2 linked regions of the Callithrix jacchus genome follow. The protein of the gene in region 2 interacts with the protein of the main gene of each other region in a pairwise test. Links are inferred from orthologs where the notes say so. Each region holds a gene or a part of one and is shown on either strand. Other genes may lie near its edges.

Evidence for each region.
Region 1: the proteins of COIL (region 2) and PDLIM5 interact in binary tests that used the Homo sapiens proteins (3 or more experiments, as listed by UniProt). The two-hybrid records come from large-scale screens. The link is inferred for Callithrix jacchus from reciprocal best matches to the Homo sapiens genes COIL and PDLIM5.

Annotation. Positions count from the first base shown.
Region 1 is NC_133504.1:102,891,256-102,894,904, reverse strand, and holds the end of PDLIM5 (PDZ and LIM domain protein 5), read left to right. Parts: intron 1-1,775; coding exon 1,776-1,891; intron 1,892-3,340; coding exon 3,341-3,430; 3' UTR 3,431-3,473; downstream 3,474-3,649. UniProt on the Homo sapiens protein: May play an important role in the heart development by scaffolding PKC to the Z-disk region. May play a role in the regulation of cardiomyocyte expansion. Isoforms lacking the LIM domains may negatively modulate the scaffolding activity of isoform 1.
Region 2 is NC_133506.1:109,380,866-109,385,251, reverse strand, and holds the start of COIL (coilin), read right to left. Parts: upstream 2,814-4,386; 5' UTR 2,790-2,813; coding exon 2,545-2,789; intron 1-2,544. UniProt on the Homo sapiens protein: Component of nuclear coiled bodies, also known as Cajal bodies or CBs, which are involved in the modification and assembly of nucleoplasmic snRNPs.

The sequences.
Region 1 (3,649 bases), on a different chromosome or scaffold from region 2:
GTAGACTGCATGGATCTATGCTGAGCAAATGGTGCGAAGGAATACTAAAGATTGACGGTTGCTAAGAAAGGTGAATTGCATTGCAAATTATAGCCTGCTTTCCTCTTCAGCTGAGGTTGGACTGACAATGTCAAAGGCCAAAGGGTGAACCATGAGTCAACACAGTAGTGAGAGGAGCTGCTTAAAAGAAAATTAGGGCAACCAGCCTGGCCAACACGGTGAAACCCTGTCTCTACTAAAAATACAAAAATAATTAGCTAGGCATGGTGATGGGCTCCTCTCCTGTAGTCTCAGCTACTCGTGAGGGTGAGGCAGGAGAATCGCTTGAACCCGGGAGGCGGAGGTTGCTGTAAGCCAAGATCGCACTACTACTCTTCAGTCTGGGCAACAGAGCAAGACTCTGTCTAAAAAAAAAAAAAAAGAAAGAAAGAAAGAAAAGAAAGAAAATTAGGGCCAGATACAGTGACTCAAAGCCTTTAATCCCAGCTCTTCAGGAGGCTAAGGCAGGATTATCCCTTGAGGCTGTGAGTTCAAAACCAGCACAGGCAGCCTACCAATACCCTGTCTCTACATGAAAAAAATTTTTTAATTAGCTGGGCATGGTGATATGTGTCTGTAGGCTCAGCTACTCAGGAGATGGTGACAGGAGGATGGCTTGAGCCCAGGAGGTGGAAGATGCAGTGAATTATTATCACACCACTGCACTCCAGCCTGGGTGACAGAGTGAGACTCTCTAATGAAAAAAAAAAGAAAAAGGAAAGAAAATTCTAATTTGGTAAAACTAGAAAGCATCTTCTCAAAACTGCTTTCTTCAGAAGGAAATCCTGTTAGTATTCTTGTAACTGTAGTCTATGTCAAGTAAATGGTCTTTTCTGGGCAAGGGTTTTCAACATGAAGTTACAAAATTGAAAGGAAAATACAACAAAATAAATTGTGGCTAATATTGTTGTGATACAGTCTAGCTAGAAATTCAGTCATAGCACTTATTCATACAAGTTTCCTGCAACGTTTCTTTTTCTTTCTTGCCCAAGTCAGATACACTATGAAATTTGCCAATATCAGACATTTGTTCTTGGTCCCTGTCCATTAGTCTTACTGTTGCTAGTTATTAGTATTCCTTTGTATTTCTTTAGAACAGTTATTTCTACTGATAACTGGTCACAAAACAGTTCTTCTTTTTTTCCCCCTCCTGAGACAGAGTGTCATCCCGTCTCCCAGGCTGGAATGAAGTGGTGCAATCTTGGCTCGCTTCAGCCTCCCTCTGCTGGGTTCAAGCAATTCTTCTGCCTCAGTCTCCTCAGTAGCTGAGACTATAGGCATGTGCCACCATGCCCAGTTAATTTTTGTGTTTTTAGTAGAGACAGGGTTTCACCATATTTGCCTGGAAGCTCTTGATCTCTTTACCTCATGATCCACCTGCCTCAGCCTCCCAAAGTGCTGGGATTACAGGCGTGAGTCACTGCACCTGGCCAGAACAGTTCTTCTTTATACTTATTTAGGCAATTAAGTAGTTGGAGAGAAGCGAGAAGTATTACATGGAAAATTATAATCAAGAATGTTAGGTTGCATAAATAATATTTACCAAGGGAATCCTGAAACATGCTGAACATATCTTTCAAGCCAAACATTATGCCATCTCCTGAAATTTTTCAAATTCCTAATATCTTTATCTTTAGCATCTCATTTAATCCTGATTTTGTTGCTGCCTTCTAGGAACGATCATTCTACAACTTCATTGTGTTTAAATTATGTCTCTCTGCCCTGCCTCAATACAGATTATTATGCCCTCTTTGGTACTATATGCCATGGATGTGAATTTCCCATAGAAGCTGGTGACATGTTCCTGGAAGCTCTGGGCTACACCTGGCATGACACTTGCTTTGTATGCTCAGTAAGTAAAGTCTTACTTCCTACTTAAAGGGGAATAGTACGGCCAATTCTAGCTTTAGTATTTAATGGAAATATCAGCTCTCATATCTTTTAGTCCATTGAACCTAAAAAATATATATTTTTACTTTTTTGTAAATTTTAAAAGTTGTTTATTACATTTTTTGGCATTTTTTAAATTATTTGGCAAACAGTGAGATCCTTAGTCCTTAGAGAAAATATAATTTTAATATATTTTTGTCTATAAGAAGAAGCTATCTATTTCTTAAAACAGTAAGTTTCCTTTACTTAAAAAAAGTAGTTTTTGGAAATGTTAGGTACTTCTTAAAATACAAAGGAACAATTATCAAAATCTATTTTTGAATTAACACTAGGAATAAAGTATATGTTGATTCATTTCTTTTCTCAGCAGTAGCTTCTGGATATTCTTTTCTTTTTGAGACTATAGTCTAATAAACATGTAACAAAGTATTTGCCTATTCATTTGATATTTTAATATTTTTGGTTTTATGTTTAATGATTAGGATAGATTCAGAGATTAAAATATATAGTTTTTAAATGTAGGAAGTAAATATCCACTAAACATGCCTCTGTTCAGGTGTTTGATTTTTGAAAATTTGATTTAACATAGCTATAGTTTTCAATACCCATTGTACAAAGGGAACAAAAGTAATATTAATTGAAGCCTAATGATTTCCCCAAACATTACCATTGAACTCATGTTTACCTCATCCATCTCTTAGACTTCATAAAGTCTATAAAAAGCAAAAGTTTTAGCAGATTTACCTTTTCTTTAATAAAGCTCTTCATGAGAATTTTAATTAACAAAGGCAGCAGGAAGAACAGGAAGCTGTACATGTAGATAGTCAGCTGACTGTGTAATCCTGCAGCAGCCAGATGTTGACCTGGGTCTTTATGTAAGAAACTAACTAAAAAGAGGTCTCAGCTTGAACACAAGGCACCCCTTAAAAAAAAGTTCTCAGGTATTCTGTGTATTTGTGGGCAAGCTAATGTTGGGCTTGGGAAGGTTTGGTAAAGCAAATGAGTCATGTTTTGGTTCCCTACAACACTAAGCAAAATTAAGACATTGTTTAGAATTCAGGGAGATACAATATATTTAATGGGCCCTCTTTCTATATTAAATTTTTAGTTAGGAATAAATCTTCCCTCTGGATAAAGAAAAGTGATGCTCAGTGCTTTCTATAAAGTAGAATACATTCTAGGAAAAAGCCATATTTCATTGCTTTTGAAAGATTATATCTAATTGTCCTAGTAATTGTGAAATATTAGGGAGTCTAACATAACCAACTAAAGTGTTTTGTCGTATTATCCATTGGGGGAAAAATCACTTTCTCCTTCTCCAGCATACTTGATACAATCCTCTTAATATCCTCTTAAATAATGCATAATATCCTTTTAAATAATATCCTCTTAAATAATGCTTCTTTTTCAGGTGTGTTGTGAAAGTTTGGAAGGTCAGACCTTTTTCTCCAAGAAGGACAAGCCACTGTGTAAGAAACATGCTCATTCTGTGAATTTTTGAAAGTCAACAGTTCAGGAGAAGAGAAGAAATTTGAAGAGAAAAATGAAAATTAAAATTACTAATTAATTTTTAGATTCAATATTTATTTGGAGTTTTGAAAAATCATAGTGGCCCTGAAGGAATAAATTCCAGCTTTAAAAACCAAGTCTGAGGAAATATTTGGCTTCATAAAGTAAAGAGACAGTTTGGCATTATTACTTTTTCCTGTATTTTATGCCC
Region 2 (4,386 bases):
TCTTCAGGGTACTGCTCAATTCCCTAACCATTTTGTTCCATGCTGATGTCTGCTTTCTCAACCGACTTCTGCACTTAGCAGTATAACTTGGTCTAACTGGTCAGTCTAATTGCCGGTGTCACAGAAGGTAATATACAGAAGCATGAAACTCATTATTTTGGTCCCAGTCCAACAATATTAGGTACTTTGAGAACAGAGACTATGTTTTCTTCTGTAGCTCTGAAGAAAAGTGAACTTTTCAGGGAAAGACAATGATTGTGGGCCTGAAACAACAAAAACAAAGATGAATTTTCCAGATTCGTCTTTTTCTACAGACTGCCCATTTGCCACTGAAGCCACTGCAGAGGTCTTTTTACCACATGCAGCTGTGCATTTGAAGCATTTACGAAGAATCTGCCTGTCATCATGTTGTAATTATTACTTATAAGAGTTTTCATTTTTTTGTCATTGTTAACTTCACTATGAAGAATGTAATGCCCAGATGATTCATTAAAGTATAATTATAGTTAGCTGGCACAGATTAATAACTAATTAGGCAAGGGACAGTGCAAAAAATACACTTAATAAGATAGGACACAATACTTACAATTGAGTATTTAAATAGTCCTTGAACTGCAGAGAGAATAGACACCTATTTCACAGTCAGTAAAAAGGAAAAAAAAAAAAACCTCTGAAATTTAGATTATTTCAAATCATCATTTGAAACAGTTGAACATTATTAAATCATAACATTTTGATTTGAAGAAGCAGTTATTGTTCCAAATTAAATTCCCTGACGTTCTGAAGAAATCTTATGGAATCTGACATGCTCGAGGGTAAGGAATATTCAGTAACAAAGGGCAGCAAGAGAAAATAGCCTGGTTCACAACTCTGGAATTGATTCACTGTAGCTGAAGCTTAAAGGGGGTGGGTGGAGGGAAGGCTGGCGTAGTGGCCCACGCCTGTAATCCTAGTACTTTGGGAGGCTGAGGCAAGAGGACAGCTTGACCGCAAGTTCAACCAGCCTGTGCAATAAGGCGAAACTCTGTCTCTACAAAAAACACAAAAGTTATCCATGCCTGGTTACATCGCCTGAAGTCCAAACTACTCAGGAGGCTGAGGCAGGAGGATTGCCTGAGCCCAGGAGGTGGAGGCTACAGCAAGCTATGATTGCACCACTGCACTCCAGCCTGGGCATGGGAAACCCAGTCTCTTTATTTAAAAAAGAAAAAGCCTGAATAAATGGGTCCAAGATATGAATCCAAACTGGAATCATAGGATCTCATCATCTTACCATGGCAACTCAACCACATTTTGGCAATTCATACTACAATTGCTCCTGGATCCTCAACTTATTATCATTTTAATTTCCAAAAGCATATTTCAGAGTATTTTGTGTTTCCCAATTCACAGCCCGAAAGGACTCAGACACCTATTTGAGTGAACCCAGGCACATGAGAACTAAAGTTGGACAGGAGCATGTTATGAAGAAAATGTGATGATTCCCCTCTGTCAGCTTGGGTCTCCTGTACCTGACCCTGAACGCCGCCAAGGGTAAGGCTGGGTCTTCCGCACACCTGCACCATGGGCATGGAAAACAGTGCCTTCCTCGCTTGCTAAGGGGCCGATGTGCTAAATCAAGGCTGAAAGAAACCCTGGGCCTGCCCTTAGACATCAGGGTTTTTCCGAGTTTGGTCCTCCTGTCATCAGAAGCAACTCGGGAAGGATGCTCGTTAAAATGCAGATTCCAGCCAGACGCAGTGGCTCACCCCTGTAATCCCAACACTTTAGGAGGCTGAGGCAGGAGGATCACTTGAGGTCAATAGTTCAAGACCAGCCTGGTCAACATGGTGAAATCCATCTCTACTAAAAATGCAAAAAAAAAAAAAAAAAAAAAATTTGCTGGGCATGGTGGCACCCACCTTTAATGCCAGCTACTCGGGAGGCTGAGATAGGAAAATCCATTGAACCCAGGAGGTGAAGGTTGCAGTGAGCCGAGATAGCAGCACTGCACTCCAGCCTGGGTGACAGACTGGGAGTCAGTATCAAAAAGGGCTGGCCTCAGTGGCTCATGCCTGTAATCCCAGCACTTTGGGAGGCCGAGGCGGGCGGATCACCTGAGGTCGGGAGTTCGAGAACAGCCTGACCAACATAGAGAAACCCCATCTCTACTAAAAATACAAAATTAACCGGGCGTGGTGGCGCATGCTTGTAATCCCGGGAGGCTGAGGCAGAAGACTCGCTAGAGGTGGAGATTGCGGTGAGCCGAGATTGCGCCACTGCACTTCAGCCTGGGCAACGAGAAACTCCGTCTCAAAAATTAAATAAAATAAAATAAATAATAAAATACAGGTTCCTGAATCCCAAAGTTGACTACACCAATCAGGATCTCCGGGGTTCGCGAACGTCCATTTTTACAGTCCCACCTCCCGTCCCCCATCCCTCGTCCTCCTTCCTATCCCTCACCCCCTCCCCATCCAGGCCTAGCGGTCTCAGGCCCAGGCGTGCGCAGGCGCGTCCCCCGCCCGCCGCCCACCCGGCCGTCCCGTTCCCCGCACCGCCCACCTGAGGCAGTCGTTGTCTCTCACGAGGCGCGCGCTCTCGGCAGGGGGCAGGAGCCCCCCCTCCAGGTAGAGGCCTAGGAGGGCACCAGAACTGAAGCCGAAGCGCTGGCGGATGAGACTAATGAGATCTGTGACGACTCGGCATCTGTTCAAGTCGACCAGAAGCCAGAAGGCTGTACAGTGCGGGGTAGCTGGCGGTGGGTAATCAAATTGAAGCCGTAGCCTAACCGTCTCGGAGGCTGCCATCTTGCTCGGTGCTCAACGGAAGCCGAGAGATACCACAGGGCTACCGAGTGGCGTACTCGGGCGGCCCGCCCCTCGGAGCTTTTGGCGTGTGCTACCTAGTGGTGGAACCTGGCTACTACAGGCTACGTTAGGGCGAGAACTCGGAGCATGTGGTTGATTTCATTCAATTATTTTCACTACAGGGCTGTGCGAGGGAATAAGTGAAATGCCTTTATTACATTTCTTCCGGGCGCTCTGTAGGGTCTCCTAATTAAGGCGAGTCTCTGGATAAATAACTTCTAAGATACTTACTCATCGACGTAAAAGATTTGTATAAAACAGTCGTAACACATTTCACTGACAAGTTTTCATCATAATTAGTTGAAAAAGATGTAAATCCTAGGCCGGGCGCGGTGGCTCACACCTACAATCCCAGCACTTTGGGAAGCCGAGGCGGGTGGTTCACGAGGTCCAGAGATAGAGACCATCCTGGTCAACATGGTGAAACCCCGTCTCTACTAAAAATACAGATATTAGCTGGGAATGGTGGCACGTGCCTGTAGTCCCAGCTACTTGGGAAGCTGAGGCAGGAGAACCGCTTGAACCCAGGAGGCGGAGTTTGTGGTGAGCCGAGATCATGCCATTGCACTCCAGCCTGGGTAACAAGAGCGAAACTCCGTCTCAAAAAAAAAAAAAAAAAAAAAAAAGATGTAAATCCTAGTGTGTTCTCAGTGTTGACATTTTGAAATAAAACTGCTAATCACTCTTTCAAATGTTTCCAGTGGAATATGAATACCTTAGCCTTTTAATATCCACTACTAAACAAAAATGTCCTTGTATTTATCACCAGTAAGTAAATCAGAAGTTTTACATTATTTCTTTTATTTTTCGAACTAGAATTTACATTTCTCCCACATAATATATATTAACTCTTAATTTTCATGACGAAAGTTAGGAATTATGAACTATTATCCTCATTTAGAGGATTTTTTAAAACCAAGGTTCAGAGAGTTTAAGAAATAACACTAGAGGCCAGGAGCGGTGGCTCACACCTGTAATCCCAGCACTTTGGGAGGCCAAGGTGGGCAGATCACTTGAGACCAGGAGTTCGAGACCAGCCTGGCCAAAATGGTGAAATCCCAACTCTACTAAAAATATAAAAATTAGCTGTGTGTGGTAGCATGAGCCTATAATTCTGGCTACTCAGGAGACCGTGGCAGTAGAATCCCTTGAACCCAGGAGGTAGAGGTTGCAGTGAGCCAAGATCGCACTACTGCACTCCAACCTGGGCAACAGAGCAAGATTCTGTCAAAAAAAAAAAGGAATTAACTTCCCCAAAGTCACTAGACAGTTAAGTTGTAGGTACCAGGGGTTCCATAGATGAATTGAAAACAAATTTTTTAAAGTGAAAGCAAGGTGTTTTGTTTTTCTTTTACTTTTTTAACAGTCTCATTGTCACCCAGGCTGGGGTGCAGGGGTGCGATCTCTGCCTCCTGGGTTCAAGTGACTTCCCATCTGAGCCTCCCTAGTAGCTGGGACCACATGAGTGGGCCACCACACCCAACTAATTTTTATATTTTTTGTAGAGATGGAGTTTTTCCATGGTGGCCAGGCTAGT